4 linked regions of the Diceros bicornis minor genome follow. The protein of the gene in region 3 interacts with the protein of the main gene of each other region in a pairwise test. Links are inferred from orthologs where the notes say so. Each region holds a gene or a part of one and is shown on either strand. Other genes may lie near its edges. The genes, in order: HNRNPF, ZCCHC10, DZIP3 and HNRNPUL1.

Evidence for each region.
Region 1: the proteins of DZIP3 (region 3) and HNRNPF interact in binary tests that used the Homo sapiens proteins (3 or more experiments, as listed by UniProt). The two-hybrid records come from large-scale screens. The link is inferred for Diceros bicornis minor from reciprocal best matches to the Homo sapiens genes DZIP3 and HNRNPF.
Region 2: the proteins of DZIP3 (region 3) and ZCCHC10 interact in binary tests that used the Homo sapiens proteins (3 or more experiments, as listed by UniProt). The link is inferred for Diceros bicornis minor from reciprocal best matches to the Homo sapiens genes DZIP3 and ZCCHC10.
Region 4: the proteins of DZIP3 (region 3) and HNRNPUL1 interact in binary tests that used the Homo sapiens proteins (3 or more experiments, as listed by UniProt). The link is inferred for Diceros bicornis minor from reciprocal best matches to the Homo sapiens genes DZIP3 and HNRNPUL1.

What each region holds. Positions count from the first base shown.
Region 1 is NC_080745.1:15,289,130-15,295,983, reverse strand, and holds the start of HNRNPF (heterogeneous nuclear ribonucleoprotein F), read left to right. Parts: upstream 1-3,847; 5' UTR 3,848-3,879; intron 3,880-4,193; 5' UTR 4,194-4,261; intron 4,262-5,127; exon of another isoform or gene 5,128-5,209; intron 5,210-6,854.
Region 2 is NC_080740.1:52,289,418-52,296,687, forward strand, and holds the start of ZCCHC10 (zinc finger CCHC domain-containing protein 10), read right to left. Parts: upstream 3,001-7,270; 5' UTR 2,982-3,000; coding exon 2,941-2,981; intron 1-2,940.
Region 3 is NC_080754.1:11,807,572-11,815,369, forward strand, and holds the start of DZIP3 (E3 ubiquitin-protein ligase DZIP3), read left to right. Parts: upstream 1-4,786; 5' UTR 4,787-4,911; coding exon of another isoform or gene 4,912-5,013; 5' UTR 5,014-5,483; intron 5,484-7,798. Other genes in the region: protein CIP2A, read right to left, coding at 717-864, 4,912-5,013. UniProt on the Homo sapiens protein: E3 Ubiquitin ligase proteins mediate ubiquitination and subsequent proteasomal degradation of target proteins.
Region 4 is NC_080773.1:15,283,283-15,291,274, reverse strand, and holds the start of HNRNPUL1 (heterogeneous nuclear ribonucleoprotein U-like protein 1), read right to left. Parts: upstream 3,006-7,992; 5' UTR 2,722-3,005; coding exon 2,427-2,721; intron 627-2,426; exon of another isoform or gene 563-626; intron 542-562; exon of another isoform or gene 1-541. Other genes in the region: AXL (tyrosine-protein kinase receptor UFO), read right to left, coding at 6,987-7,338.

The sequences.
Region 1 (6,854 bases), on a different chromosome or scaffold from region 3:
CCCTGAAGGGGTTGGTACTCAGGGGAAATGTGGGGCTGATTCAAAGACTTCAGTGCCAGGCTCCCGCCCACCCATCCAACCATGATAGTTTTGAAATAGAAGCTGCAGAGGGAAGGAACTGTTTTAATCATAATACCTTGGGTAAGGTACAGTGAGGTCAGATGCAGATCAAGAGAGAGAAACTGGAAAGAGTTTTACGGTTTTTTATACTCACAGCTCTCGGAGGAGAACTCAACATGCCACCGGGGCCACTCAGGGGAAGCACCAGGTTGGTCACAAGGCAGAGCAAGAGGGAACTGTGGGCAAGCACCTTTATTGTGGTTTTTGCTGAAAGGAAAGGGTTAAACAGGGCAAACAGGTTTAGGATCGGCTAATTTAAATAATTTCAGTGGGCTCCGGAGCAAGGGGCTGTCTCTGGTTGATATCTGGCCCTGGGGTAATTAGGGAGTGTATGGCGGCCCAGAGTGTCAGAGCCCGATAAGGGAGGTGTTTGGTAGTGTGGACTTAATTGGCTGTTTAAGAAGAGGAACTAGACCAGCGTCTAAGCAGGGCCTCAAAACCGGATCAAGATAGCACACATCTACCCACACAAACTGTATTACAGGAAGCAATATTCTTTTTAAAAAAAGTTATGTAAATGGACCACACATTTTGTTTCTTCTCTGATCACAAAACGTCAATACCCCACCAGTGGTGGTTTAATCTGTAATTTTTTTTTGGTCCAAAACAATGAGAGGAAATAGTCAATACGTCAAAATGTCAATATCTCTTACATTTGTACAATATCTACAATTTTGTGTTTGTTTTCAACAGTCTATAATTTTTTAAAATGGAAGTTACTACAAGAGAAAGGCAGAGGGAAGCTGCAAGCTGCCCTGCACCTGGCAGATCTTTTCTTTTCTTTCCAGTTTTATTGAGATATAATTGACATATAACAGCACATCTTGATCCAAATGAAGTTTTCTGATTCTCCTGAGGCCCCATAGTAGTGAAGGCATCTAACTGCACATACTTTTGGGTGGGAACACTCATGATAAGGCTAAAAGCTGACAAATCAGAATGGAGACAGAGCTAGACCTTTGTTCACTAACATTCAAACCAAGGCTTGTTGCTGGGCCGGCCTGCTGAAGAAATGGTCAAAGTAAGGGTAGCCACACAACACTGCCCAGAACCACACAGTCCACCTGCAGTCTTTTGCTACGCAAAGAACCCAATTCAAGCAAGTAACCATCAAGCTCAGGGGGTGCCATAACATCTCTTTCACTAACTCAAAGTGCTGTCTGAAAGAACGTAAAGTACCCTGAAAGCACTGCAAATAACCCTGGGGGCGGGGGTCGAGCCCTCTGTGGTGGTGACTTTCCTCTTGAATAAGCATTGTGCTGCTTCAAAGGTGCATTTTTCTATATTAGTCAAGAAAATTAACCAGACGAGGCTGACTTCTCAACTTGCCTCTGTCCCAGCTGGGTTATCTTATCCCTCATCTCACCTACTAGAGCACCTGGCCTCAAGGATAAAATTTACATTTGGACAGTATTTATACCGTGGCTGGACAGTTGAATTTGCTTTCTCATTTCGTTCTTTCCCTCTCTCAGATGGGAAAGGGAGACAGAGAAGGGGCTGGTAAGCCAGGCTGAAAGCCCTACATCTTGAGAGCACAGCAGTTAAGAGGGCAGATCCTGGAACCAGAGTGCCTCAGCCCAAAGCCCAGATCTGCCATCTACAAGCTGAGTGACCTTAGCAAAGTTCCCTTAACAACTCTCTACCTCAGTTTCCTTCCACTAAGTGGTGATGATAGTAATAACATCTACTCTTGGGTTGCTATGATGTTGAAATGAGATTAAGTATTCAGAACACTGCAACACGTTAGGTATTGTTATCATCAATGCTAGTTAACAGATACTGTGATTTTGAATAAGAGCCTTGCTGAGCCTTGGTGATCCTGCCTACCCACTGGCATTCTCCTGGGGAAGGGGGTCAAAGCTTAATGGGTGAAGTGTTCTTTCAAGTGGTATCAACTGGGAAATTTTAAGACTCTAGACAATACAAACCTCTGTACCATTTGTTATGGACGAGTAATTTCCAGAGAGAAGCTTATTTTTAAAACTTAAAATATTTATTAAAAGGTCTTAAATTTGTGATAATCTATTTACATAAACAACAGGAAATAAACAGGTCAGTCTGTAACAGGATACATCTTGGGGTGATCTTCATTTGTGGTGAATTCAGTTGTTTTTAAACCACAGACCTTAAAGGCTCATCTCTGTGTAGGTACTCTCAAGAATCAAAAAACGTCTCTTTTTAGATTTCAGAGCTTAGGTGACACTTTTCTGTACATAGAGATGAAAAGAAAGGGTAGAGGCCCCTAAGCCCCCACAGCTGAGGAGGTGATCCAAGTAGACCAGGATTGGGTAAGCATTCTCCAGTTGGTGAGATGAGCTGGACTTTTGTGGAAAAGACCTAGGATCTGTGGCACCAGTCTGATTCCAGCCCTCACTATGGAAGAGAGCCTATATATGGCTGTGCTAGCACTCACCTCTGAAAAAGATAACATAGTGGACACCTGGGATGACTCCCTTGGACAGGGGGAGGCTCATAATCAGGCCAAGGCCCTAGTCTTCCATTCAGAGAAGACCTCAAAGGTTACTGCATCACTGATGAATGATGGAGAACTGTCAAACTTGATGAGGGCATCAAACAGCCCACAACAGAAGTCCTTTTAACAGACTGCATGAACCTATCTCCTTGAACCTGGTTTCACAGTCCCAAATTCTGAAGCATTACTATTTTTTGGTATAATTTTAATACTTGCCTCAGATTGGCTCTTGCATTTTGTCTCCAGAAACAGACTTTTCTACAGCATGAGCAGTGACAGTCATTGTGGGGTTTCTTAAGAATACCTATCTGATTTTTGTAGGACCCGTTTTCTGTAATTTTGCCTTTGATTAATTTTCTTCTTGTACATTTTCACCTCCTTTGACAGCTCCTGCTTTTACCCTTCCCATTTTTTCCTTCCTGGAATCAGCTTCTTTTGACAAACTACGCTCCTCTCTCTACTATCATTGTCCACTCATAATCTGATACTATGCCAAGCACTCCCTTAATTTAACTGGTAATTTTTAAGTAATCTTCTCCTTAACCTGCGATGAGGGTCTTGATATCGTCATCTTTTTAAAGAGTGTCTGCAAAATTAAAATGGTAATAATTATTAACCCAAGGACACATCTGCTCCCCTGCCTCAGGCGGAGTAGCCATTTCCATCCAGCTTCTCAATTCAGGGCCTCTGTGACAGGCAACCCTGCATTCTCCTTGGGTCTTCTGGGTCACCTTGAGAGAGTTGGGGGCTTCTCAGCCCAAGTGATAATCACGTGAGCAACCTCAGTCAACCAGCTAATCTTTCCCTAAACTCTCCCCTCGGAGCCGCTTTTTTCGTCTCCGGTGTTCTCGGTTCCCTCTTTCTTCCTCGGCAGGAAACGACTCTCATTTTCTTCTCTCAGGCTGGTCTTCAAGCCAGATGCCCTTTGCGCTCACTGTTTGGGGAGCTCTCCCAGTCAGTATCGTCAGGAGCTCAGGAGCGTTCCGCTAACCCTCCCCTTCCCAGAGAAAAGCTCGCCCTCGTCCCCCCGCCCCGTTCCTCTCCTTCCACCACCCAGCTCCGCAGGCACTACCAGCCCCGGGGCCGGGCCAACCAATCCCCGGCTCCGCTCCCGGCGCGTCACAATGGCGCCCTCCCGGCCCCGCCCCGCGCCCAGCCGGCCAATCCCCGGCTCCGCTCCGGGCGCGTCACAATGGCGCCCTCGCGGCCCCGCCCTGCCGTGGTCTTTGCGTCCTTCCGGCTCTGTCGTGGAAGTAGCGCTGCGCCTCGTCTTCCAGGAGAACAAGGTGGGGTTTGGTGGGGAAACCGGCCTGCGGTCACGCCAGCACACGGAAGGCGGGCGGGGGCGCGATCTCTTGGGGCTGCTGCTCCCAGGTGCTGGGGCACAGGGCCGAGCGGGGACCGGGCATGTAAGGGCTTCCGGAAGCGCCGCGTGCGCACGACGGGCGGGAGTTGTGGACTCGGGCCTGCCGCGCGCCTGACCCCTCCCCTCGGAAGCCCCGCCCAGGGCGCGCTGCCAGGGGTTTCCATGGTGATGGTAAACAAGCCTCAACTGCCTCAGCTACAACTGCCAAGTCCCCCACGTTCCACCCTCCTCTAGGTGCTCAGGGGGACGACCGAGGTGCCGGGTGTGAGGAAGAGCGGGAGCGCGGAGACTCCGAGCCTGAGGTGAGGGGCGGGACGGGCCGCGGGTCCGAAGCCCACACACCCGGGACCGACTGGCTACTGGGCCCTCTGGGTGTGGGGACAGTGGGGCTGAGATTTGGGGTCGGGGGAGGCAGGGTCTGAGGTCAGGGGCCGCACACCCGGGGACCGACCGTGGACTGGGCTCCCCTGGGGGTGGGGACGGCAGGGCTGAGATTTGGGGTCGGGGGAGGCAGGGTCTGAGGTCAGGGGCCGCACACCCGGGGACCGACCGTGGACTGGGCTCCCCTGGGGGTGGGGACGGCGGGGCTGAGATTTGAGGTCGGGGGAGGCGGGGTCTGAGGTCAGGGGCCGCACACCCTGGGACCGACCGTGGACTGGGCTCCCCTGGGGGTGGGGACGGCGGGGCTGAGATTTGGGGTCGGGGGAGGTGGGGTCTGAGGTCAGGGGCCGCACACCCGGGGACCGACCTTGGACTGGGCTCCCCTGGGGGTGGGGACGGCGGGGCTGAGATTTGGGGGAGGTGGGGTCTGAGGTCAGGGGCTGCACACCGGAGGACCGACCTTGGACTGGGCTCCCCTGGGGGTGGGGACGGCGGGGCTGAGATTTGGGGTCCGGGGAGGCGGGCCTGAGGTCAGGCCTTACACTTGACTGGACCAGGGGGCTGAGATTTAGGGTTAGGGGAGGCAGGACCCGCGGGGAGGAAGGACAGGAGGGCCTCGGGCGGACTCCAGGGGGAGCAGGGCGCGGGCACACGGGCCTGTCGGATGGGGCTTCCTTTAGAAATGAGAGCAGTTCCCTCACGTGGCCGGGCGCGTCCGGGAGTTGCCCAAGACTGGCTGGGCCTGGCTCCTCCCCCTCCCACGTTCCCGCTCGCCGCGCCTCCACTCTCGGTGCTCACGGCCTTTTCTTCCTCTCCGAGCCGCGTGTGTGCCCTGCGCGCCCGTCCGCGTTTGTCTCCTGCCCGTCGAGGTACAGTGTTCGCATGTTGGGGTGAAACTCTGGTTCTCGTTGTCTTTGCCTGGTGACCACGCTTCTGCTGAGCGGGCTTAGTCGGCCGTTTCGTTTTTCCCTCGTGCTTTCCTTCTTTGTATCTTTGAATATGTGTTTCGCTGATTCTTGACTGCGCCTAAGAAACTTCCGGACGCTGCTGGAGCTCGCGCGGCGCCGTCTGCCTCCCGTGCTCCTGCGCGGCTCCCTGAGGTGGTGCCGCGCGGGTCGCGGGGACCTGACCTACTCGGTCCCCGGACCCTGGTCTATTATAGAAACGGTGGGGAGGCCGCGGGCCCCTCCCGTTAATCTCTACTTTAAAGGGCCTCTCAGGACCCCAGTGTTCCCGCAGACAACCCTCAGGCCCAGGAGAGCCCCCCCGGCCCCGGGCACCTGCGGGACCCTCGCCCGGCGTCCCGTCGGCCCCGGCCCGCCGCTTGCGGGACGCCCTTGGCCGCATTCTCTTCCCCCGGAGGCCCCAGGACGAACGGACACCCCTCCTCCGCTGGTGTTTACAACTGTCTGCGGGCCGGGTGCGCGGCGCGAGAGGAGCCCGCGAGGGTGGCGCGCCGAGGGGGGACGGTGCGACCGCGGCTTCCCAGGGCCGCCGGGGCGGGGGGCGCCGGGGGTTCGGGGCGGCCTCAGGTGTCCGCAGGCGCGGGAGCGGGAGAGTTTTGAAGGCTGCAAATAGTTTTTTATATCAAACATCATCGAAACTACTGACCTTAATATAATTCTCACTACTACTTTTAGTCACGTTCTTAAAAGTTAGTTTTCGTTTCTGAATTTCTAGTAAGGATGAAAATATGTCGGGTTCTCAGGTTAGATAAAAAATATATTAAAATCTAATCTCTCAGTGAAAAGTAATGTTTTCAGTATGTACTAATTTCTAGACAATTTTTTCATTTTAAAATAGATTAATTTCTACATATAATGAATATTGAGAGAGATTGCTTTATTACTAATATTAAGTAAGTCCATAATTTGCCTTGGGGATCTCATGTTTCTGTATGCACTTCTGTAAGTTGATTGTTTATTATTTCCATGTTATGATCTCGTTTTTTTTTAGTTTTTTTCTATTTTAGTAACATTCTTCTCGTAATATTTGCCTTTTTGCTACCTTTCTTTTTAACTGACAAGTGACTGGTTTTCACTTGAGTATTGTTACAAAGCTCCCTTTAAACATAAAATATTCAAGGAAAAATGTGAATTGATTTAAGGGAAAAGATTGATTAAATAGGAGAGTTAGTCCTCGGATATGGCCAAAACTGTGAAGAGTGTGGAGACTTAACGGCCTAGGTGCCTGGAGGGGCTGCAGAAATGGGAGGTGACTTCCTGCCAGCCTCTGCCCAGTCTGAGCTCTGGCTCTCCAACTCTTTGTAGATCCGCAGTAATTGAGCCTTAGTGGGTCCAGGCAGAGAGCTAGGTTTAACCACATTTTTCTAATCACATGCTCATGACCAGTCTACAAGTGGGTATTGTTTTATTCCCATTGTACAAATGAGAAAATGGAGGCGGTGAGAAAATAAGTTGCTTGCCTAGGGACACAGCTGGGACTAGGACTCAGGACTGACAGGGACAGCCCTCCTCTGCTAGGGCCCTCATCCCCACCTGGTTGCCCTGAACC
Region 2 (7,270 bases), on a different chromosome or scaffold from region 3:
TGGAAATTAGTGTCGAATCTAACAAGATGAAATTTAACAAGGGTAAAAGTAAGTCGGACACAAGTCCAGAAAACCAATACAAATACAAGACCGGGGAAGCTTGACTTGAGGGCAATTCAAGTGGAAAACACTTAGGGTTTTTAACTGACAGAAATTATAGCTTAGGTCAAAAGCTGGGACGTTAGAAGGCAGCAGGTTTAGCTTCATCAATATTATTTTCCTTTCAGCTCAATATAAACTTTTTGATAAATTTGGAAAATGAAACAGGCTACTTCAGGAGGTATGTCCTTACTGGAGGTCTTCTAGCCAAAGTTAGATATTACTCTGGATACTGAAGAGAGAGCAGTAGAATCCAGCAGAGGGTTTAGCAGAAGAAACGACCCCAGATAGTACCAAGATTCTACAATCTACTCACATATGAGTAGATGTAATTACAATTTAAAAAGTGAAAATAATCTCATTTCGATTGATTTAAAGTTAAGTGCCTGAAAGATCTGCTGAATGGGGAGTTCAAATTTAAGCTCTCTCTTTTTTTCTTTTATTTCCCTCTTTCCTCTATTAGTCCAAAGACTTAAAAAGAATGACAATAGTGCTTTCTCATTTCCCATAACTTAAAAAGTTTAAAATTTATTATTACGGAAGTAATATATACTCCTTATAAATAAAATTAAACCTTTTTGATGAATATAAAATGAAAAGTAAGGCCAGCCCTGGTGGTCTAGTGGTTAAGGTCGGCATGCTCCACTTCAGCAGCCTGGGCTCGGTTCCCGGGCATGGGCCTTACACCACTCTGTTAGCAGCCATGCTGTGCTGGTGGCCCACATACTAAAAAATAGAGGCAGACTGGCACAGATGTTAGCTCAGGGCGAATCTTCCTCAGCAAAAAGAAAGAAAGAAAGAAAGAAAAGTAAAGTCTCCTCTTCTGTTTCCCCCCCCCCCCCAGATATTCCCAAACTCTCCTGGACTCCCCTAGCCTCTAAAGGCCCTCCCTCTCTGACTCCCTAGGGACTTATATAGTCTGTATACCATGACACTTTTTATTATACACCATATGTTTTCTTCCCAACAAGATCAGAAGCTCCTAACGCTAAGATTTGTCTTTTACTTCTGTGTAGCTCCTGTACCAAATACAGGCAGATTGCAGAAACGGAACACCTGTTCAACTTTCTAAGACTTACAAAACAAGAAATGGTGCGATATTCTTTAGGTGCTAAAAGTCTCACTTTCACTTCATATTTACAGTGCACATTGGTTGGTTCTGCCAATCCAGCATTCATGACCTCCTCTGACCTACCCACCCAGCTCATCATTGGTTTATAGAGATCCATTCAATTGTGCTGGGAAGAGAACTAGATCTAAGTCAATCAGAGCTTCACAATCTCACAGACATGGTTTAGGGTTGGGCATGTAACCCAATCTAGATCAATGAGATGCCATCAACCTGAAGCTGAGGGGATATACAGGATCCTAGATACTGCAGCCATCCTGGGACCAAAGGAGTAAATCTATCTAAGTATGGAACCAACACCCAAAAGGGCAAATCTGAAAGTTAGACCGTGGTGACGTCATTTAGCATGCCCATTAAGTATTATCATCACTCCATTCTTGATCTCAGAACTGTCTGACTTCAAAGCCTTCTTCCTCCACCAAGCATACTACTCTGACCCCAAGTCTTTATCCTTATGCTCAACAAATTCTCCTCATCAGGCATGAGAGGTAGAGTGGAATGGAGCGAGAAGAGAAGGAACACGGATCTTAAGATAAAAAATATAAATATAAAAAGAAATATAACATACATATATATGCTAGCAGACTGTGAGCAATATATTATAGGCGTGTAAATGGTGATGATATGAAATGCTGAGAGAATGAAAAAGTGACAGACATTGTTTGGGTGTACAGGTTGGCAGAAGAAAAAAGGCTTTATAAGAAAGGGGCATCTGAGATGACTACCACATTATCTGACCACAGCAAACTTCTGTGCCACTCTCTCACTCATTAGCCACAATAGCCATCTTTCAGTTCTTAAAAACTAGGCTCTTTCCTGCCTCAAAGCAATTATGCCACTGTCTGGATGCTCTTTCCCCAAATCCTCTCATGACTGGCTTTCTCACACTTTTGATCTCTGTTCAAATGCCACCTCTTCAGAGATGCCTTTCCAGTCCAACCAACTTAACTTGGGCCTTTCATTTTTTCCATCACCTCTTATTTCCTTCAAAGCTCTTATCACCAACTGGATTTACTTAAAATGTTTAGTTTACCGATTCTTTCCACCACTAGAACGTAAGCTCCCTGAAAGCAGGAATTATGTCTTGAACACCTCTTTTTCTTTAGATCCCAATTCTGGCAGGAAGCAGCAGGCAATGAATAAATTAATATTTATTGAAGAAAACGAATGGTAGAAAGTGAGACTACAGCTTGTGAGAAAAATCGGCGTTGTAGTCGGGCTGTTCCCGAGGAACAGGCGAGAGGAAGTGGGTAGGAAAAGCCAGCGGGGCTGGAGGTTGCTTAGGGAGCTGAAGGTTTACGTCGGCGAGAGTCGGGGGTGTCGGATCAGGGCTTCAGTCTTCTCTTGGCTACGAATGGGGTGGCCAGGTGGGTGGCAGAGGGGCATAAACCACTTACGGACCAACTCCTGGGCGTCCCCTTCGTGAGAACCAAACGCGAGGCTTTCTTCAGACACCCCCTAGATCCTGCACCGCGGACCTTACGCAGCCGTAGTTCACGAAATCGCTACCCCATGGGCACCAAACTTATCGCCCGGGCCCGAGCCCGAGCCCCTTAGGAGCAGGCAACTTGCGAGAAAAAACGGCCACCCTCTGCCGCTCCCTACTGAGGATCCCACGCCGGCCCGGCATCCCGGCGCCCGTTCACCCGCCGGCTGACGCGCTTCTCCCCGCCCCCAGCCCGCCCCGCAGCCCGACTCCGGCCCTCACTTACGCTCGTCTCCGGGCTATGAGCCGATGCATGGGAGTCGCCATGTTAGCGCGGCTGAGGCCTGCCGCGCTGCATGCTGGGAAACCCCTCGGTGGGGGCGGGGGCTTCGAACCCGCCGGCCACAGGCGTGGGCGGAGCCTGGCCGGCGTCTCGGGCCTTCGGGACAACCTTTGGGGCTAGTAATGGGTGGGAGGCTGGGGTGTTGTGTCTGCTGTGTGGGTCTCTAGGTTGAGGAAGAGAAGTGAGGCCATTTGTCCAGCCTGTACAGGGTTTTGAAGGATGGGTACGCGTAAATTGAGTGGAGAGGCAGAGAAAAACATTCTCAAGTGAGGGAAGTATATATATTTTATGAATATATAGTCATATATATATGAATAAAACTGTGCAGTGTTCAGAAAACTAGAAGTAGTCTGGAGAGCAAAATAAAAAGGAATCAGTTGGGGCCAGCCAGGTGGCATAGTGGTTAAGTTCGCACACTCTGCTTCAGCCGCCTCCGGTTGGCAGGCCCAGATCCAGGGCACGGACCTATGCCCTGCTTATCAAGCCATGCTGTGGCAGACGTCCCACATATAAAGTAGAGGAAGATGGGCATGGATGTTAGCCCAGGGCCAGTCTTCCTCACCAAAAAAAAAAAAAAAAAAGGAATGAGTAGAACAGGATTGGGACCATCAACTGAAAGACTGACTTTAGCAAACCATAAAGTGCAAATATATGTTAATTATTTCTATTTTTATGTATTTCATAGGGATTTTACAAGAACCAAATGAGACTAAGTAAAGCTGCTTTGTCAACTGGGAAAAGATTAGACAAATATATATATATTTTTTTTAATTTTATTTATTTATTTATTTATTTATTTTCCCCCAAAGCCCCAGCAGATAGTTGTATGTCATAGCTGCACATCCTTCTAGCTGCTGTACGTGGGACACGGCCTCAGTATGGCTGGAGAAGCGGTGCGTTGGTGTGTGCCCAGGATCCGAACCCGGGCCGCCAGCACCAGAGCGCGCGCATTTAACCACTAAGCCACGGGGCCGGCCCTAGACAAATATTAATTATTTTAGGATATTTTAGCATTTAGTATCAGATCATGGAGATTTTATTCCCTTAAATCCACGTTCTTTGAACTATATATAACTTTTTGAAATATATATGTGTGCATATTTATGAGTCCCCATTCATTTTTTTCAATTACTGTTTATCGAACACCTAAACTGTTTTGGGAACTGGGGATAGAGCACTGAACAAATAAAGTCCTTGTACACATGGAGCTTTCTAGAGACAATAAACAAAGGCAATGTCCAATGAACATAAATACTCTGAAGAAAAATGATTCAGGGTAAGGAGGTAAAGAGAGATTTACCATTGGGAGCTAGAGAAGGTGATGTCATGTGACCTTTGAGCACATCTTGTTCTTAAAAAAATGGAATCTTACCAACTATTCTGTTCTTCAGTTTGCTTCCTTCATTCCTCAATGTGCTTATGGACATCTTTTCCCATATCAGCACATACAGATCTAATTCATTCTTTTTATGTATTACTTTATGTAGATTATATGGATATTCCACAATTTATCCAATCAGTGCCCTATTGTTGAACCATTAGACCATTTACCACAAAGATGGAATGAATGGATTTTTAAGCGTTCACCTATGTTTCTGTAAGATGACTTCCTTCCTAGAAGTAGAATTGCTGGGTCAAAGGATATGTGTGCTTTTAATTTTGATATATATTACCTATTGTCTTTTAAATAGGTTGTGCAACCAAATCCTACTTTCTCACCAGAATTGAGAATGGTCAAACTTTTAAACTTTTGCCTATCTAATAAGCCAATATGATATATTATTGGTGAGGTTAAATACATTTCATATGATTGTTGAAGACTGTACTTCTTTCATGAATTATCTGTTCAAATTCTTTGCCTATTTTTCTATTGGATTTTTATCTTTTTAATATTGATTTGTAGAAACTTTTAATATTTTACATATAAATGCTGTTTTATATTTTACAAATATTTTTCCTATTTTGTCTGTTGTGTTTTAACTTTGTGATCATTTACCCTGTACAGAGGCATTAAATTTTTGTATAGGCATTTTTAACAATCTTTTCCTTTATAGGTCCCTAGATTTGGCTCATGCTTAGTATGGCCTTTTATGTCTAAGATTATTCTTTTTTCTGAGGAAGACTGGCTCTGAGCTAACATGTGTTGCCAATCTTCGTCATTTTTTCCTTTTTTTTTTTCTCCCCAAAGCCCCAGTAGATAGCTGTATGTCATAGTTGTACATCCTTCTAGTTCTTCTATGTAGGATGCTGCCTCAGCATGGCTTGATGAGCAGTAAGTCCATGCCCAGGATCCGAACCGGGGAACCCCAGGCCGCCAAAGTGGAGCACTCAAACTTAACCGCTATGCCACGGGGCCGGCCCCTATGTTTAAGATTATTAAATTTAGGGCCGGCCCCGTGGCTTAGCGGTTAAGTGCCCACGCTCTGCTGTTGGCGGCCCAGGTTCGGATCCCGGGCGCGCGCCGACGCACCACTTCTCTGGCCACGCTGAGGCCGCGTCCCACATACAGCTACTAGATGGATATGCAGCTGTGACATACAACTATCTACTGGGGCTTTGGGGGGAAAAAATAAATAAATAAAATCTTTAAAAAAAAGATTATTAAATTTTTTTCTTGTATTTTATTGTAATTTTTTAATTACAATTATGGTTATATTCTTAATCCTAATTTTTAGTTTTTGAAATACCATTTACTAAATAATCTATCACTTCTTTACTGATTTGAAATGCCAGTCTCTCATGTACCAAATATGTACAAATTTAGTTTGTTTGGACATTCTATTTTCTTCCAAAGATGTATTTGTGCCAGTATTTGTTTCATAGTTTTAATTTCCATGGTTTTATAGGATATTTTGATATCTGATAAGGCAAGTCCCTCCTCATTAATCTTTCTTTCTCCTCAATTTTCCTTATTGCTCCTAGGCATTTATTTTCCTAGGTGAGCTTTATTCTCAAATTTTCAAGTTTCCCACAAAATAATACTCAGATTTTTTGCCAGCTAATTTTAAAAGAAACTGCATTATAGCAAATGTGAAAAGGCAAGAGACAGAATGAGATATAACAAATCGAAAGGAGGAAGCAATGACATTATTTGTGATGATTTGGTCGCACACCTGGAAAGCCTAAAGAATTAGTTAAGGGGCCGGCCCCGTGGCGTAGTGGTTAAATGGGGGTGCTCTGCTGCTGGTGACCCGGGTTCAGATCCTGGGTGCACAGGGACACACTGCTTGTCAGGCCATGCCGTGGCAGTGTCCCACATAAAGTGGAGGAAGATGGGCATGGATGTTAGCCCAGGGCCAGTCTTCCTCAGCAGAAAGAGGAGGATTGGCATGGATGTTAGCTCAGGGCTGATCTTCCTCACAAAAAAAAAAAAAAAAGAATTAGTTAAAAGCTTCTAGAGGGCCGGCCACGTGGTTTAGCGGTTAAAGTGCGAGCGTTCTGCTGCTGGCTGGCCCTGTCCGGATCCCGGGCGTGCACCGACGCACCGCTTCTCCAGCCATGCTGAGGCCGCGACCCACATAGAGCAACTAGAAGGATGCGCAGCTATGGCATACAACTATCTACTGGGGCTATGGGGGCAAAAATAAATAAATAAAATTAAAAAAAAAAAAGCTTCTAGAGAGTTCAACACAGGGGCCAGACACACACACACACAATACGATAACAACTTGCTTTTTCAGTGGCAAGACCAAGTCAATATAGCTGTTTCCCATTGAGGCCCATGAGCTTGAGGGACCCTCAGCTTTGTCCAGAGGACCCTGGCTAAAATTCAGATGCTAAATTTTGTAAACTTTAATGAGTAGAAGCTGAAAAAATTAAAAACTCTTGTGAAAGCTGCAAGTAATTTCTCTCTGGCGAGGATGAACACTTTTTTTTTTTTTTTATAATTGTATTTATTTATTTATTTTCCCCCCCAAAGCCCCAGTAGATTATTGTATGTCATAGCTGCACATCCTTCTAGTTGCTGTATGTGGGACACTGCCTCAGCGTGGCACTGAAGCGGTGCATCAGTGGGCGCCCGGGACCCGAACCCAGGCCGCCAGCAGTGGAGCACGCGCACTTAACCGCTAAGCCACGGGGCCGGCCCTTCGCGAGGATGAACACTTTACCAGTCTTTAAGCAGACTATTCCTTTATTCTAGGAAAACGTCCCCCAAGTGCCTTCCAGTTATATAAGATGTCTCAAAGAACTGAGGGAGGGATGGATGTAAAAGGTGTGTGTTGGAGGGAGAGTTGCATCTCTCTGGACTGGGTTGCCATTGGTCAGGATGGTT
Region 3 (7,798 bases):
AGCGGAACATGCCAAATTTAACCACTAACGCCACGGGGCCAGCATTCTCTCTTTCAAAAGAAGACTGATTGGGGCCGGCCCGGTGGCGCAAGCGGTTAAGTGCGCGCGCTCCGCTGCGGCGGCCCGGGGTTCGCTGGTTCGGATCCCGGGCGCGCACCGACGCACTGCTTGGTAAGCCATGCTGTGGCGGCGTCCCATATAAAAAAAGTGGAGGAAGATGGGTACGGATGTTAGCCCGGGGCCGTCTTCCTCAGCAAAAAAAGAGGAGGATTGGCGGATGTTAGCTCAGGGCTGATCTCCTCACAAAAAAAAAAAAAAAAAAAAAAAAAAAAAAAAAAAAAAAAAAAGAAGACTGATTTTTTGATCACTAGCTATGACTTTTCTGAGTACTGTATTTAATACTGGCATTATGCATACGTATTTTTTTTTAATTCAAAAGAAGACCAGCACTTCCCAAGGTGCATTCTTTTTCTGTAGACCACTGAAACTTTGATATGCTTCAGATTCTTTGCTCCAATAGTTTTAAGAAAGGATGCATATAATAGTCCCCCTTTACAAGAGATCCACAATACAAAATAGTTCTGAGAGGTCTTGTGATAAAGAAATCTTTTGAATGTGAACCATTTTCCAAAAGATTCTATAACTAAACCTGCCCTTTAAGAAATGTTAAATTCATACATCTTCCAAAAAATGAAAAAGAGAAACGAAATACATACCCAGTTGAGAGAGCAAACTGATGATACTTAAGATCAGTGGAGCACTTATACTTGGGTCTTCAAGCAGCTCCACAAGGCAACTCAAGCATTCACTTGGTAATATCTGATTCGATGTAAACAATCGGGTGAGCTTCTGTCCAGAAATTACCTACAAAATAGTAATTAAAATGTGTGAGTTAAGAATTGGCAATTTTCACCTCTTCTCCATCTCAAATAAAAACTCAGTCTCCCAAAGTGCCACTGCCACTCTCTTTCTCGATTTAGAAAATTCATCCATGCCGTTCCCTCTGCATGGTAGATTACCTCTCCCTTTCCTCACCAGCTAATGTAATCACTGGGTCTCAGTTTTAATTTGCTTTCTCCAGGAAGCCTTCTCTAACTTTCTTCCATCAACTAGGTTAGGTTTGCCTGTTATACTATCCTATAGTAAATTATACTTTCATTTCATATGTTGGCAAGCCTTTGCTGACCTAGCAATATTTATCCTCCCTACCCACACTGAACACTCCATGAAGGCACAGACTACAAATCAACACTCTACTACCAATATATTTATTGAATAAATGAATTCCAGTACATTCATTTCACCTACTTTGAGAGAGGCAAATGATAAGTGAGAAGAAGCTAAGTACAAAGGCTTAGCTACGGGATTAACTATGTGATTACTCCTTCCGCTCCTTCCCAAAGACAGTAGTTGAGTCCAGAAGTTAGAGATTGCAAAGAAGGAAGTTGAAAAAAAATTTTTTTAAGCAGCCAGGTCAGGCACTGAAAAATTTTATTATTTGTTATTCCACTTTCTACTCCTCACTTATATACCTATAAGCATCCCCCCACCTCCCAAAAAGGTAAAGCTAGGATCGAAGGCCAAAAACAGTTGTCAGACAGCCACTTATTTTCAAAATGCTTTATGCATGTTATTCATTATTAAGCATATCTTTTCTATAAAGATGGAAAAAACAATTACTTACTTTAGAATTAGATTGAATCTGTTCTAAACACTTCTATTTCTACAAGACCAAGTCAAATCAGGCTGTTTTAGCATCTCTCTAGCTTCCATTTCTGTATCCCTCTTTCATTCCTCCACCCAGATGTCAGTTTTTCTTTTTCTTTCTTTCTTCTTTTTTTTTTTTGTGAGGAAGATCAGCCCTGAGCTAACATCCATGCTCATCCTCCTCTTTTTGCTGAGGAAGACTGGCACTGAGCTAACATCTATTGCCAATCCTCCTCCTTTTTGTTTTTCCCCAAAGCCCCAGTAGATAGCTGTCTGTCATAGTTGCACATCCTTCTAGTTGCTGTATGTGGGACACGGCCTCAGCATGGCTGGAGAAGCGGTGCGTTGGTGCGCGCCCGGGATCGGAACCTGGGCTGCCAGTAGCGGAGCATGCACACTTAAGCGCTAAGCCATGGGGCTGGCCCTCAGTTTTTCTTCTAAAGCTTTGCTGATCAGACAGCTTCAGAATATCTGTTCCCAGGGAGTACTTGTTTTAACATTCAATTAAAAGTCTATCAGACTGAATAAACAGGTCCAAAGGCAAAATTAGATACCAATAGTAGATATTTTGGGGTAAAGAACCTTCTGAGCATTGGCCTTTTGCCAACTTATAAAGCTAGCCTTCTACGAGATTAAGACATTTTTTGCTTTAAATACAATTTCCCTCAGGAATGGACCCGTATTTCAACAACATAAGTATTCTAATACGTAATAATAATTTTTTACGAGGTAAAATGAAAAATGCTTTACAGATTTTCTTCTTTACTCTTACACATTGAATGTTTTAATGCAAATAGAATTTATCTTAGTAATAACTAATACTTTAGGACTTACTCTAGCCTAGACATTGTTCTAAGTACATCATGCATGTTAATTCCTTTCACCATAATAAGGCTGAAAGGTAGGTGCTAGCTGTTTTACACATGGGTAAGCTGAGGCACACACTGATGAGACAGCAGCACAACTAAGATTCATTGCTCCCGAATCCATGCTTATAATCATTACATAAGAATAGTGCTATGCAATAGCATCAAGAATGAGACCAGTTCAGCTCTGGCAATCATAAAAAAATGCAAAGCTCAGGTTCTACCTGGGGCTACAAAGAAAAAAATATAGCAGAAGTCCAGAAGAATAGCAGAGTGAACAAGCTCCTTTCACATGATAACTCTCTGTTATCTTCAGATGTTCTCATGAGGTCCGCACAAAGATATTCACCATTAACACTGTCCGCCAAAACGGTTAAAACTAAAAAATCTGAAAATGTCAAGGATCAGTATGAATGAATGAAGCAAACTTCACATATTGCTGGTGGGAGGGTAAACTGACATAACTTGTGGAAAATTGTTTGGCAGTTCAACTAAAACTGAACATAAACTTACCATAAGACCCAACAATTCCACTCCTAGGTATATAGGAGAAATGAATACATATATCCACAAAAAATGTATGAAAATGTTTATAACAGGTTTATCGTTAACTCCACCCAGAATTGGAAACAACCCAAATGCCTATCAATAGGAGAATGTATATAAACTGTGGTTCATTTGTACAATGAAATTCTACATAGCAATAAAAAAGAATGAAGTACTGGCACACATGCAACATGAATGAATTTCACAGAGTATATTGAGTGGAAGAAGCCAGACACAAAAGTATACATGGTATGAGTCCACTTATCTGAACCCTAAGAGAAGGAACAACTGAAAAAATCTTATAGGGCGCTGGAAATGTTCTGTATCATGACACAGGTGGTAGCCACTTGAGTGTACACTTATGTTAAAAAAAACTGTCAAGATCTTCACTTAAGATTAATGCACTTTATGCAATGTACGTATGTTATCTCCCAATTAAATGGTAAAAGTGTTTTTGGTAAACCCCTTGGAATTCTGGAAACACTATCAAGGAGCCAGTCTCTAAGCCTCAAGTTTCTTTGAAGTCTCCTTCAATTCACCATAACATTGTGCTCAGAGTCGCAACATACCTGTTTATTCTCAAAGAGGTAATGTTTCAGATCAGTATCTAAACTGCCTAACTCCTAATTCTTAAATAAAACTGACAGTTCTGCTTTTCCTGTGGCTTCTGGAGTCCACTAGCGCACTGTTCTATCCTAATTGAGAAGTGAAGCCTTAGAATTTAACAGCTAACACCTTAATTATTAGGTTTGCAGGTATTCGTTGAGGTAATGAATGAAAAAAGAAACCCAATGTACTTAAGACACGGGCAGCTACTCCAGTTTCACCAAAGGCTGATGTTGCTGTACCATTCTCAATCGTCTTTCTCCATAGTATTTTGCTAATCTTTGATAATTTAGCCTTTTATCATAGGGTTAATATAATAAACAGAATATATTTTAAAATTATGTTCAATTCTATGTTAGCAGAAACTGCGACAATTTTTTTTTTATTAAACTGAGGTCAATATTAGTTGGAATTCCATGAATGCCATAACAAATGACAGCAGGAGATTAAGACCCTAAAAATAAACAGGATCAGAAAAGCTGTGATTATAGCTTTCCTTTGGAAAACACAGAATAAGTCTTCTAGACACAAATCACTGGGAACCAATTAAAAAAGTGAAAGAAATTCAGCATTTTAAGACTGAAAAATTGTGAGTAATACATTGTGGTAAAGAATAAAAGATTATTATTATGAGTAAGGGAGATTGTTTCTTAACCCAAAGAAAGTTGACATAATATTTTTCAAGTTCGATTCAACATGAGTTCAAGTAAAAGCAGTAAGCGACAGGTTCAGATTGTAGACTGCCTAAAGGACAAGGGATAAAGCAAGTGTTAATCGTCACTCCCCATCACCTCCACGCCCGAGAATTGCTGTATATTCTGAGGGCTCTGTTACGATGGAAAAAGCAAAAGAAGCACAAGGAAGATACAGCGTTGTCCTCCGCCCACCCGAAGCACAGCCTCAATTCCCCAACCTCTTGCCCCACCCTCCCTCTTCCTAGGGCTTTCGGTAGTGACTTAAGCCTCTCGCTGCAGCCAGCTGAACGCGGCGGGCCCCGCGGCGGGGTAGAAGAGGACGGGAATTCAGGCTGACGCTCCCTCGCCTTCTCTGCCAATACAGAAAGACAGCTGAGCGAGCGAGGGGCCGTCCTTTCCTTCCCAGGCTGGGGTCGCTACGCCGGGCAGCACCGGGAACTAAGGATTACGACAGGGAAGCCCATCTCGTCCCCTACCCCGGAGCCCCTCACCTCCAAGTGCCGCAAAAGCTGGCTGGCGTTCGCTTCCGACTTAACGGCTTTATACTGACTGATGGTCAGGAGCAAGGACTTCAAGCAGGCGGTGGAGTCCATCGGGACCCGCCACAGCCCCACCTGGGGGCCACCACCACACCTCCAGCTCTCTCCTCCAGCTTTCTCCGCGCTTTTTTTTTTGATTTTCGGCCCCACCCCCCTCGCTCTCAGATGCTTCCGGTTCCGTTCGCGCTCCGGAAGTCCCTAGGCAACCTGGCGGACGGCTCTCAATAAAGGGAGGTGGTGGGGAAAGTCGAGGCGCTCTGTGCGTCCGTGAAGGGCGTTGACATCCCGGTCTTATCTGAAAAGCCGCGAGGTTTCAGTTTCGAGATTCCGTGAAGACGACGAGAAGTCTCGCGAGAAATGCGACTGCGGCTCTCTTGTGGAGGGGCGGTTGGGCTCAGTGGGGTCCTGTTTGTCAGCGCGCTCCGTTTTCGTTCGCTTCCTCGGCCTTCACGTTGGATGGCCGGTTTCCCTTTGTGCATCATCTTCTGCCTGAGAGATGGTCGCTTCCCTCTAGTCTAGACACGGTGAGGGGCTCTAAGGACGAGAATCTTGGGCTCTAGATTTTGAGGCGGCCTGGGAGGGGCCTCTTTTTAAAATCTCAGATATGTCCACCGCTTCCACCAGGAATGTTTGTTTCTCAGCGTAAACCTGTGGCCATTGGGATTCTGTGGCAAGTTAGTCCCGCCCTGACGGTAGTCGTCACACTTATTCGAGAAAGCTCCCTCCGGGTGACTCCTGGGCGAAGTATTGCTCCGGAGGGCGTTCTCATTAGCGTCAGTTTTTGTAAGTGAAGATGTCTGTCTTTATCTGGCATGATCGGTTGTTTCGTAACTCTCGGTGTCTGTGAAAATGGCACTGTCGTTTGCGGTTTTTGATCAGAGGTAATATTATGCGTGTGTATATAATGGGATGAGTCGAGAGTAGCTAGCTGGAGCTCTTTGCTTCCTGTGTACTAACGTCGAAACCAGTTTGCAGAAAATTGTAGGAATAGGATACGTGTCCTTTTAAACCACTCGTCAGAAATCATGTTTTGTCATTTCGAAGTATTTTTTACATCACTATCATTTAAAGACGGGATTAAAAATCCATTTTAAAATTAAATCTGAAAGCTTAAAATAATCTAGCCAATTGCATACGTCTAAAGATCATTGGGTAATTAGCTATTTATAGGTTCGTTCATTCTGTAAATAGTTATTGAGTGTATAACATGGGCTAGATGTCGCCGGTCAGGGAGCAAAGATAATGAAGTATCCACTGCCGAGAAGGGACTGTCTAATAAGAAGGGAAACGGACTAATGGACAGTATATATGGAGTTCACCACATGGGTTAGAGGTACCGCGCAGTGCTGATCAAGAGTGGAGTCAGGCTGTCTGCTTACAAATCCTAGCTCCACTTTTTGCTGTGTGACCATAGATAGGCACATTCTCACTGCTTCCTCTCTTCGTAAGGTAAAATCGGGCTAACAGGAGTACTTGTCTTATAAGATAAATTCAATAAATAATTCATTGAGAGCCTACGGTGTGCTAGGCACTTGTCTAGGCACTAGAGATTCAGTGAATCAAAAATCCTGCTGTTATGGATATTATGTTCTGGTAGGGAGAAAACAAATAATAAACACAAGGTAATAAGGAAAGTGAGATGGGGAAAAAAATAGAGCAGAATTATTCCTCTAGAGTTATGGTGGCTGAGAAGAAGGGAAATGGGAGGTTAGGATAGAGAAAGCCGTGTTTGAGAAAAGACGTCAAGGAGTTGAAAAAGAGAGCCATGATCTCTCGGGAAAAGGTTTCTAGATAGAAGGAATAGCAAGGGCAAAGGCCCTGAAGAAGGAGAATGACAGTGTGTCAGGAACAGCAAGGATGCTGCTATGGCTGGAGTAGGGAGCAAGGGTGAGTAGAGGAGATGAGGTCATGTCAGGTGGTGCAGAACATTATAAAATGAGTTAATCAACATAAAGAATTTGGAACAGTTGCCTGGCGTAATGAAGTTCTCAGCAAGTGTCAGTTACATCTTCGTTTGTTGGCAGATGCAGTGACGACAGTTTGGTGGTGTTAAATAATGACAGGTACTTCATCATCATCTCCATTCTAAGCCAAGGGAAAGGGTCAAAGCTGCCTGCTGTTAAGTGCCATCTATCTTTGAAATCTTCCATTTTAACTTAAGCTATTCATACAGATTTTGCGTTCTTTTCCATAAAGTATTCATTTTAATATAAAATAATGTTTCTCAAAAAATCTTCACCAGAAATAGATCTTGTAAATTTAGTAAGTTGTGCCATAGTGGTAGCTGTGAGAAACCCTGACATCTTTAGTTGGAGATACTTGGATATCCTAATATGAACAACAGAGCCATCTTTTAAGCCCCAAGGTGGGGGAAAAGGAAGAGGAGGAGATGAAGCTGGGTCCAGATGACTGAAGGCCTTGTTAGCCTTGAGCTTGGACTCCATCCTGAATTCAGTGGTGATCTCTGGTTTTAAACTGGGGCCTGATCTAGTTGGGTTTGTGTTTTATATTGATTACTCTGGCAGCTGGATGGACTATGATTTTGAGGAGGATAAGGCTAGAAGGAGGGAGAAGGTTTAATTTGCTGGAGTCTTTCCAAAGGATAACCAGGATAATTGAAGTGGAGATAGCAAAAAGGTGACAAATTTGAGAAATATATACAAGGTGAAAGAGGCAGAACTTAGTGACCGATTTTGGATGTGAAGAGTGAGGAAAGGGATGAAACTAGTAGGGATTCCAAGTTTCTAGTCTGTGTGATTGAGAAGATATAGCTACTGCTGAGGTAGTTAATAGGAAGTATTCAGGTTGTGTTTTATGTTCAATGAAATTTTATATGGTT
Region 4 (7,992 bases), on a different chromosome or scaffold from region 3:
ACTAGTGGCTGTGCCAGGACCAGTGAGGGAGAACCACAGGGAAGGAGAGACTATTCTGCCACTTGCTAACTGACTGGATCCTTTCTCACAGGACAAATACATCTGGGCACAAACCAGGTGCAGCCCAAAGGGAGGAAAGTAACAGATCACGTGGTTTGCTACAGGTCTGTTTACCAGAGCTGAAAGAAGGGTTGGAGGGGGGCATGAACGGGGCTCAAAGGACTTTGCTGTAGAGGGTAGGAGAGAGATGAAGAAATAGAATATCTCCTTAATTGGAACACGGGGGGCCCTTTCAAACCATTCTGTTTCCTCCAGGCTCCAAGCACAGTGCTCTTCTTCCCATAGAGCCTCATATCTCTCTTCTTGAGAATCTCTCCTGTGCCCACTGAGGCAGCTTCGTCCAGAGAAGCTATGATTCTGGGGTCCTTCTCCACTCTCTAAAACATCCATCTCCTAATAACAGGCAGACCCAGTGCTAAGCCCCTTACACATGCGATCTCATTCACAACAATCCTGGGGGCATTAGTCTCCGTATTTTACACACAAGGAAACCAGGGCTCACCGAGTTCTGAAGTGACTTGTCCAAGTCATGGAGTCATATTTGAAACAAAAATTTGTCTGAGTCTAGAGCCTGTGCTCTGGAGCACCTAACTCGCTTTCCTAGACACCTCCAGCCATTGGCCCTTTTTCCTAGGCATTCTTGCCAGGGTGTCTCCTGCCTTAGACATGCACGCTGGGCCACTCCTCTTTCCTTCACAGGTCTCTGCATAGGAAGTACTCTTTCCAGCACCTGGGTCCTGGACAAGCCCTAGGCTGCTCTCCACCCTAAATCTACACTCAGGTTGCTCCCCTCCCGGAGATCTCATCTCTCTCGAACAAGTAAGTACTCAACGCCCACTCCAAATCATGTCTCTTCCCTGACCCCCTTGTTCTCATTCCCTTAGCCCCATGGCCCAGGGTGCCCTCTTTTCAGAGAAATACCAGAAATCCTGGACGCCAGTATCCTTTCTACTTACTCCTTACTCTCCCCAGTCCCCATTCCCTAGTCCTGCTAGGAAGCCACCCTTTTCTAACTCCAGATTTACTCCCACCCATACCACGGTCTCCTCTCTTCAGACTATCACAGATCTATCCTACTCCCTCTCATTTCAAGTCCTACCTTCTGGCTGATGCAGAGACTCCCTGCTACCCTCTGAGGTCTCCCCATCCCTGGGCACACAAATAACTGCCTCTGGGAACCAAGGAGCCCTCTCATGGAGACACCCAGCCCCAGAAACACTCCCCGGACTCCACCCAGAGGCCCCCAGACAAATCAACAGGTTCTTTCTCCTTACACATTCTACATTCTCCCCTCCCCCCCTCCCCCATATTTGCTAGACCAGCTACACACTCCTGTGCTAGACACAAGGATCCTCCGTCCCCCAGATACTCCATCGACTTCAAACTCCACCAACCATCTGTCCCGCTCCACTCCTAGCTACCTCTGTTCTCCAAACAACCTGTACTGTTAATCCAAGATCATTCAGCAGTAGCCCCTGAGTTATCTGTCCTGAGAGCCTTCCCAGCTGTAGTCCTCTAGGTCCCTTGTCCAGTGAAGCATCCTTCCCTCCCCTGCCAGCCTCCGGACACCAAGATTCCCTACGCTTCCTCTGGAAGTCAACCAGAAGGTCCCAAGATTTCCCAGCACCAAATGCCCAAGCTGCCCCTGCCTCAAGGTTGGCCTGCCAGCCCTGGATCTCACACTCCTACAGGCCATCCTCAGACAGATGTGGGTCTCCCATAGTCCAATCATACGGTGGTGTCCCACATCCCCTACACACTTATCAGCCAAACAGAGCACCCAGTCCATCAGACCCTCCCCGGCCAGACACTAGCACCCCCATTTCATCAACCTATTCCAGTACCAAATTTGAGAATTCCCAGTACCTCATCCAGCAGCAAACTCCAGGATCCTCCATCCTCAAAACTCTCCTAGTTCTGGACACCTGGTCATTCCTTCCCGAGCACTAAAACGAGGCTCCTAACGCCCAACCCACTCGCCAGGCTAGCACAGCCCCCAAACCCCTAGGATCCCCATTTCCAAGATCCTTCTCAGCCCCTGAATAGAAAATTTCTTGTTCTTCCGACTCTCTCTGGCCCCAGAAACGACGGCTTCCGGTCCCCGAGCCCCAGGCTCTACACCCCCCAGACCGTCCTCCTCTCCGAAACCAGGAGCCCCCACTCCACTATCTCCTTTGCACCAAATGCCAGGATCCACCCTCCGGTCGTCCCGAGGCCCTGGTCCCCAGATCCTTTTCAGCGGCGGGTGGCGGGATCCCCCAATCCTCAGACCGTCTCCCCGACCTCGGGCGCCGGACTCCCGCGTCCCACAGCCCTTTCTCGGCCCGGACTCTGGGCTCCCCGGCCCCCGCCCCGCGCACTCTCACAATGTCCGTCCGGCCCCGAGTAGCCGCCAGGCTCCGGGTGCGGCTGCAGCCCGGGCGGCGGTGGCTGCGCGGTCCCCTCCAGCTCGGAGCCCCCCTCGGTCTCGACCTCCTCGTTGTTGTGCCCGGGTCGCCCCGGTTCGTCGTCGGCCTCGAGCTCCCGCTCGTCGTCGGGCTCCTCGGCCTCCAGCGCCGCCTGCAGCCGCTCAGCAAGCTCGGCCTTGAGGCCGCGAGTGTCCAGGCCGCGGCGCTGCAGCTCCTCGCGAAGTTCGTTCACCTTCAGACGGCGCACATCCATGGCCCGGGCCCCCGGGGCGGCCCCCGAGCCCGGCCCGGCCTTCCAGGGCTCTGTCCCCCTTAAACCTTTCCTGTCAGTAGGCGAAGGGGGAAGGGGGGGGCCCCCCACTCCAATGGCGGCGGCGGCTCAAAATGGCCGCCGCCGCCGCCTCCCCCTCCTCTGTTGCCCCGTGCGATGCAACACGGGTGCCAATTGGTCACCTCGTGAGGGCAGCGGGCGCGGGCCTGGAGATTCAGCCAATTAGAGCGCGGCTTTCAAAAGAACGGCAAAGAAAGGGCTCAAGAGCTGCCGGGGAGGAAGCGTTGGCCTACGTTGATGCCGCGGCCGGAGCGGAGGGCGGGAAAAGGAGGGAGGCGGAGCGCGCGGTGATTGGGTAGCGCCGGCGCGCTCTCTCTCGTAGGGTCAAATGAGGGAAAGGGAGTAAAGACTTGGGCCAATCAGCGACGAGATCTCAGAATGAGCGCCCTCACGGCCTTTCCTGCGCGGTCCTTTCATCAAACTAGTGTCTCTGTAACACATATCCTGATTGGTCTAGATCTCCCGCCCCTAGAGGCGTCCAAGCGGGTAAAACCACTAGAACCAATCAAATGGAGGGTCGGCAGACCCTCCCCCCCCTTCACTATTGCCTTTAAAAACCGGAAAGAGATGAATTCACGAAGGACCTACCCTTTGCCGTTAGGGCGGTTTCAAAACAATCTGCCCACCAATCGCAGTTATTGTTTTATCTCACTAAAGCTAGTACGGTTGGATCGCTTTAGGAAAAGCTAACCAGATTGGCCATTTTTCAGCGGACGGCCTCACAAATCTCGCTGTAGAAGGAGGTATACGAAATAGAGATTAAGTGGATTAATTATTCTTAGCCTGGAAAAAACTCAGTTGTCTTAATGAAAAGCAACCCTTTGACTTCAGAGAGTCCTGCAGGTTTGAAAATAGAGGCTAGTCTAACAACGGGAGAAAAGTTGTAAAGGAAATGGCACCCTCTCCCCTTTGATAGTACATCTCACAGGGCGCCTCTTTCCCCGATCTGAGCTTCGCTGCCCTCTCTCTCTATGGTTGGGATCTTACGTGGAATGGGCGCTCTGCACGCGACCATAGAGCCGTCCCCCCCGGAAAGACCTCCAGAGGTTCGCGGGTCTCTACCCCAAATCCTCTAGACGCCTGTTCAGTGGACGTGGCTGTTTGGCGTCTCTACTGACAAGCTCAAACACACAGGTCCGTAGTTACGCCTCACGCTGCTAAATACAAACGCCACACAGCGTTTCACAATGTCTAACGCTGCACCACCTGTCGCCTCTAACTGAAAAGACTCAAAACTTCTGTAAGATGCACAATCGAGACACACAATGCAAACGCCCGCTGCGCATTGAGCCATACCTTCAGCCCACAAAAGCCACACACGACCTCTATTTAGACAAAGGCACACACAACACAGATAAACAAATGGCCGTGAGTCAGATCAGATGCATCAATTCAAGGGGTAATACACCAAACTGCAGTGTAGATGTGCCCACTAAGGTCCGCACACGCAGGCGGCATCTAAAGATAAAGACACACAGGACAGTTACACAAGCTTACACTACGGCAACCTATACACCCAGCACCCACTCAGAAGCGGGACAGACACTCACGTGGGCCCAGAGGTTTCAGTCCAGACACCCCGCCCCACGCCCACGTCCGACTTCCTCTCTACCCCCAGCTTCCCAGAATGATTTGTTCTAAAAAAGTTTGTGGCCCGGATTGAACTGTTCTCGGTTCTCAGGAGCCGCCACCGGGGGGCGTCCGGGCGCTGCCAAGGGTTCCTCCATCTGCTCTGGACACACCCAGGAACGTGTGCCCGCGATGCGTGCAAAACACAGGGGACTTGTCTTGGCAGGAGTCCCTTTATGGGCTGGTGATTATCGGAGGTGTTCTGTGCCTGTGTTTCTATGTGAATCTGAACGTTTGGGTCTGTGAGTACCTGTTGTACTTTATATGTCTCTGAGTATTTGTGTCACTTTACTCTTTGTGTGTCTGTATCTGTGTTACTCTAGTTTCTCCCTATTCCTGGGGAGTATCTGCCTGTGCATATGTTTATAAATATGTTTGTATCTGTGTAATTTTGTGTGTCTCTGTTACTCATGTGTCTGAATTTCAGTGTCTTTGTATTTGTGACCAGGTGTGCCTGAGTATGTCCACTAATTCATGTATCTGTTACTTTGTGGGGAGGAGTGTCTCTGTGTGACCTCGTGAGTATCTCTGTGCCTATTCCTTGCCAGGGGTTTCAGAGAGTCTGCATTTCTTTGCTTGCGTGTCTTTTTGTCTATGTGTATGTTCATCTCTACCCTCTTTAGTGAGGGGAGAACTCCTAGACCCCACCAAACTCTTCTTTTTACTGAAGGGGAAACTGAGTTGCCAGGGAGGGAGGCCACATGACAGCTGAGTGGAGACGAGAGGAGACGGAAGTGTGGTTACAAAGTTTTATGTGATCTGGGCCCCTCTGGAGGCGCCAGCGTCCACACTCAGTACAGGGGCATGAGAGACTGGCTCAGGGGGGCAGCATGGCCCAAGAGGAGGAAGATTGTCCCCTGGGGAAAGGAGACATTCCTAATGCATTGCACAGGCTTGAGGGGGCACACCCCCACATGAAGGGAGGAGGAAGCAGAGGTGGCTAAGAAGGGGAAGGTCACACAGAAGAATATAAGGCTAGAACCTTGGAATCGTCCCTTGGAATTCTATGCCTGTAGACCTGTAGAATCTTACAACATTTGAATCTTAACACTACAGTGTCTAGAATCTTAAGATTTAGAACTGTGGATCTTAGACCCATAACTAAAATCCTAGAAAGGCAGAATGCAGCATAGAACCTAAAGATGTCCAGCATTAGAAATGATAAGAGGGCTGGCCCCGTGGCTTAGCGGTTAAGTGCGCACGCTCCGCTACTGGTGGCCCGGGTTTGGATCCCGGGCACGCACGGACGCACTGCTTCTCCGGCCATGCTGAGGCCACGTCCCACACACAGCAACTAGAAGGATGTGCAACTATGACATACAACTACCTACTGGGGCTTTGGGGAGAAAAAAGGAGGAGGATTGGCAATAGATGTTAGCTCAGAGCTGGTCTTCCTCAGCAAAAAGAGGAGGATTAGCATGGATGTTAGCTCAGGGCTGATCTTCCTCAAAAAAAAAAAGAAAGAAAGAAATGGTAAGAACTTTGGTATCTAGTTAGTCACAATTAACTGCAGAGACTTATACCTCAGATGCTGAAGATCCAGAATCTTGGACCAATAGAGTCTAAAGTGTCTTGGAACATAGAACAGACCAACATTAGAATCTTAGAGTTTAATAATCTAGAATCTTGAAGCATATGATCTAGAATCTCAGACACAGAGAATCTAGGTTCTTAGGCTAAGTCTTAGAACATCACATCTTAGAACATGAGACCTTAGAAACTCCATCTTTAGACTCTTAGAACTTTTGAATTGCAGATTCTAGAATCTTAGACCTTTAGGATCCAGAATCTCCTAACAAGAGTTTCAAGGATCATAATGCCTTAGACCTATAGTTGGCCATCATTAGAATCTTAGAACTTGAGAAGATAAAATCTTGAAGGCTTATGATCTAGTCTTACAGCCAGAAGATTTACACTCTAAGAGGCTTAGAATATCAAATTTTAGAACATTAGGCCTTAGAACCTCCATGTCTAGAATTGTAGAATTTTTAGAATTGTAGAATCTAGAATCTTACACCCTAAGGATTCAGAACCCTAGAAAAATAAAATCTAGAATCTTAGAGTCTTAGATCCTAGAATTAGAATCTTAGAGCTTTAGAACCTAAAATCTTGTGGGCTTTATCAAGAATCTTTGAACCAGAAAAATCTAGAGCCATAGAATCTCAGAGCCTTAGAATATAGGCCTTAGGACTTCTATGTCTAGAACCTTAGCACTTTAGAATTAGAGACTTTGGAATTTCAGGTCCTTAGAACCAAAGACTTATAGCATCTTTGAAACCTAGAACCTTTGAGTCTAGACTCTTTAAACCTTAGAATCTAGAATCTTGGAATGTTAGACCTAGGAGGACCCTTAGGGGTTGCAGTCCAACCCCTTCCTTTTACACATGGGGACACAAAGGCATGGAAAAGGGGGAGGATCTATCTGGGATGGAAGTGGAATAGGTAGGAAGAGAGAGCTGCAGTTGAGGGTAAGGCCTGGAGCGGGAAAGTGGAGGGGGGTCCCCCAGTGGCAGTGCCTAGCTTGGGTCCTGAGAGGGAGTCCCAGGTAGAGGGTTGTCTCAGGCTCCATCCTCCTGCCCCGGGGATGCTGGGGAGCCCCTATCAGTAGGCAGGGTGGGGCCAGAGGCTGTAGAAGGGCAGAGGACATAGCGTCCAGCAGGATGGACCTCAGCCGCGGTGAGGCAGCTGCAGGAATCCTTAGGGTCAGGCTGGGTTGGGGGGTCAGCTCCTCCAGCTGCTCCAAGTGGTTCAGGATGACCCACACCCTCATCCATGTTGACATAGAGGATTTCGTCCGGCTCCTGGGCAGGGGGCAGGGCCTTCAGCGTGTTCTCCAGCTCTTCCCGCAGCTCTGCAAAACTCGGCCGGTCCCGGGGGTTTAGCTCCCAGCACCGGGACATCAGGACATACCTAGGGCAGCAAAGTCAGGGGTGGGAGACTGAGCAGGGGCTCAGAAGGGGAACATTCTGGGAGTCTGGGGGCATTTCATGGGACTGGAGGGAACCATAGCAGTTTGGGGGCATCTATGGGGATTTGGGAATTCTCAAGAGTTTCTGAGGGGGGATCCTGGGAGACTCAGGAGCTGGAAAGAGTCTTGGGAAACCTCTCTGGGTATGGGGTGGTGTTCTAGTGAGGGTTTGCTAGAGCAGAGCTTCCCAATGTGTCTCTGGCATCAAAGGCTTGCAAGCTGTGCAATTTAAAATATGTGCCTGGGGCCAGCCCCATGGCAGAGTGGTTGAGTTTGCACACTCCACTCTGGCAGCCCAGGGTTTGTGGGCTTGGATCCCGGGCGTGGACCTACACCACCCCTCAAGCCATGCTGTGGCGGCATCCCACATACAAAATAGAGGAAGATGGGCACAGATGTTAGCTCAAGGACAATCTTCCTCACACACAAAAAATTAAAATTAAATACAAAATAAAATAATAAAATAAAATAAAATAGTGCTCAAATTCTTTGACATCCCTCTCTTGAAAAGATGGAGCCTAATTTCCCTCCCCTTGAGTGTGAGCTGCACTTAGTGACTCAATTCTGACTCGGCAGCAGTGACGGTGTGTGTGACT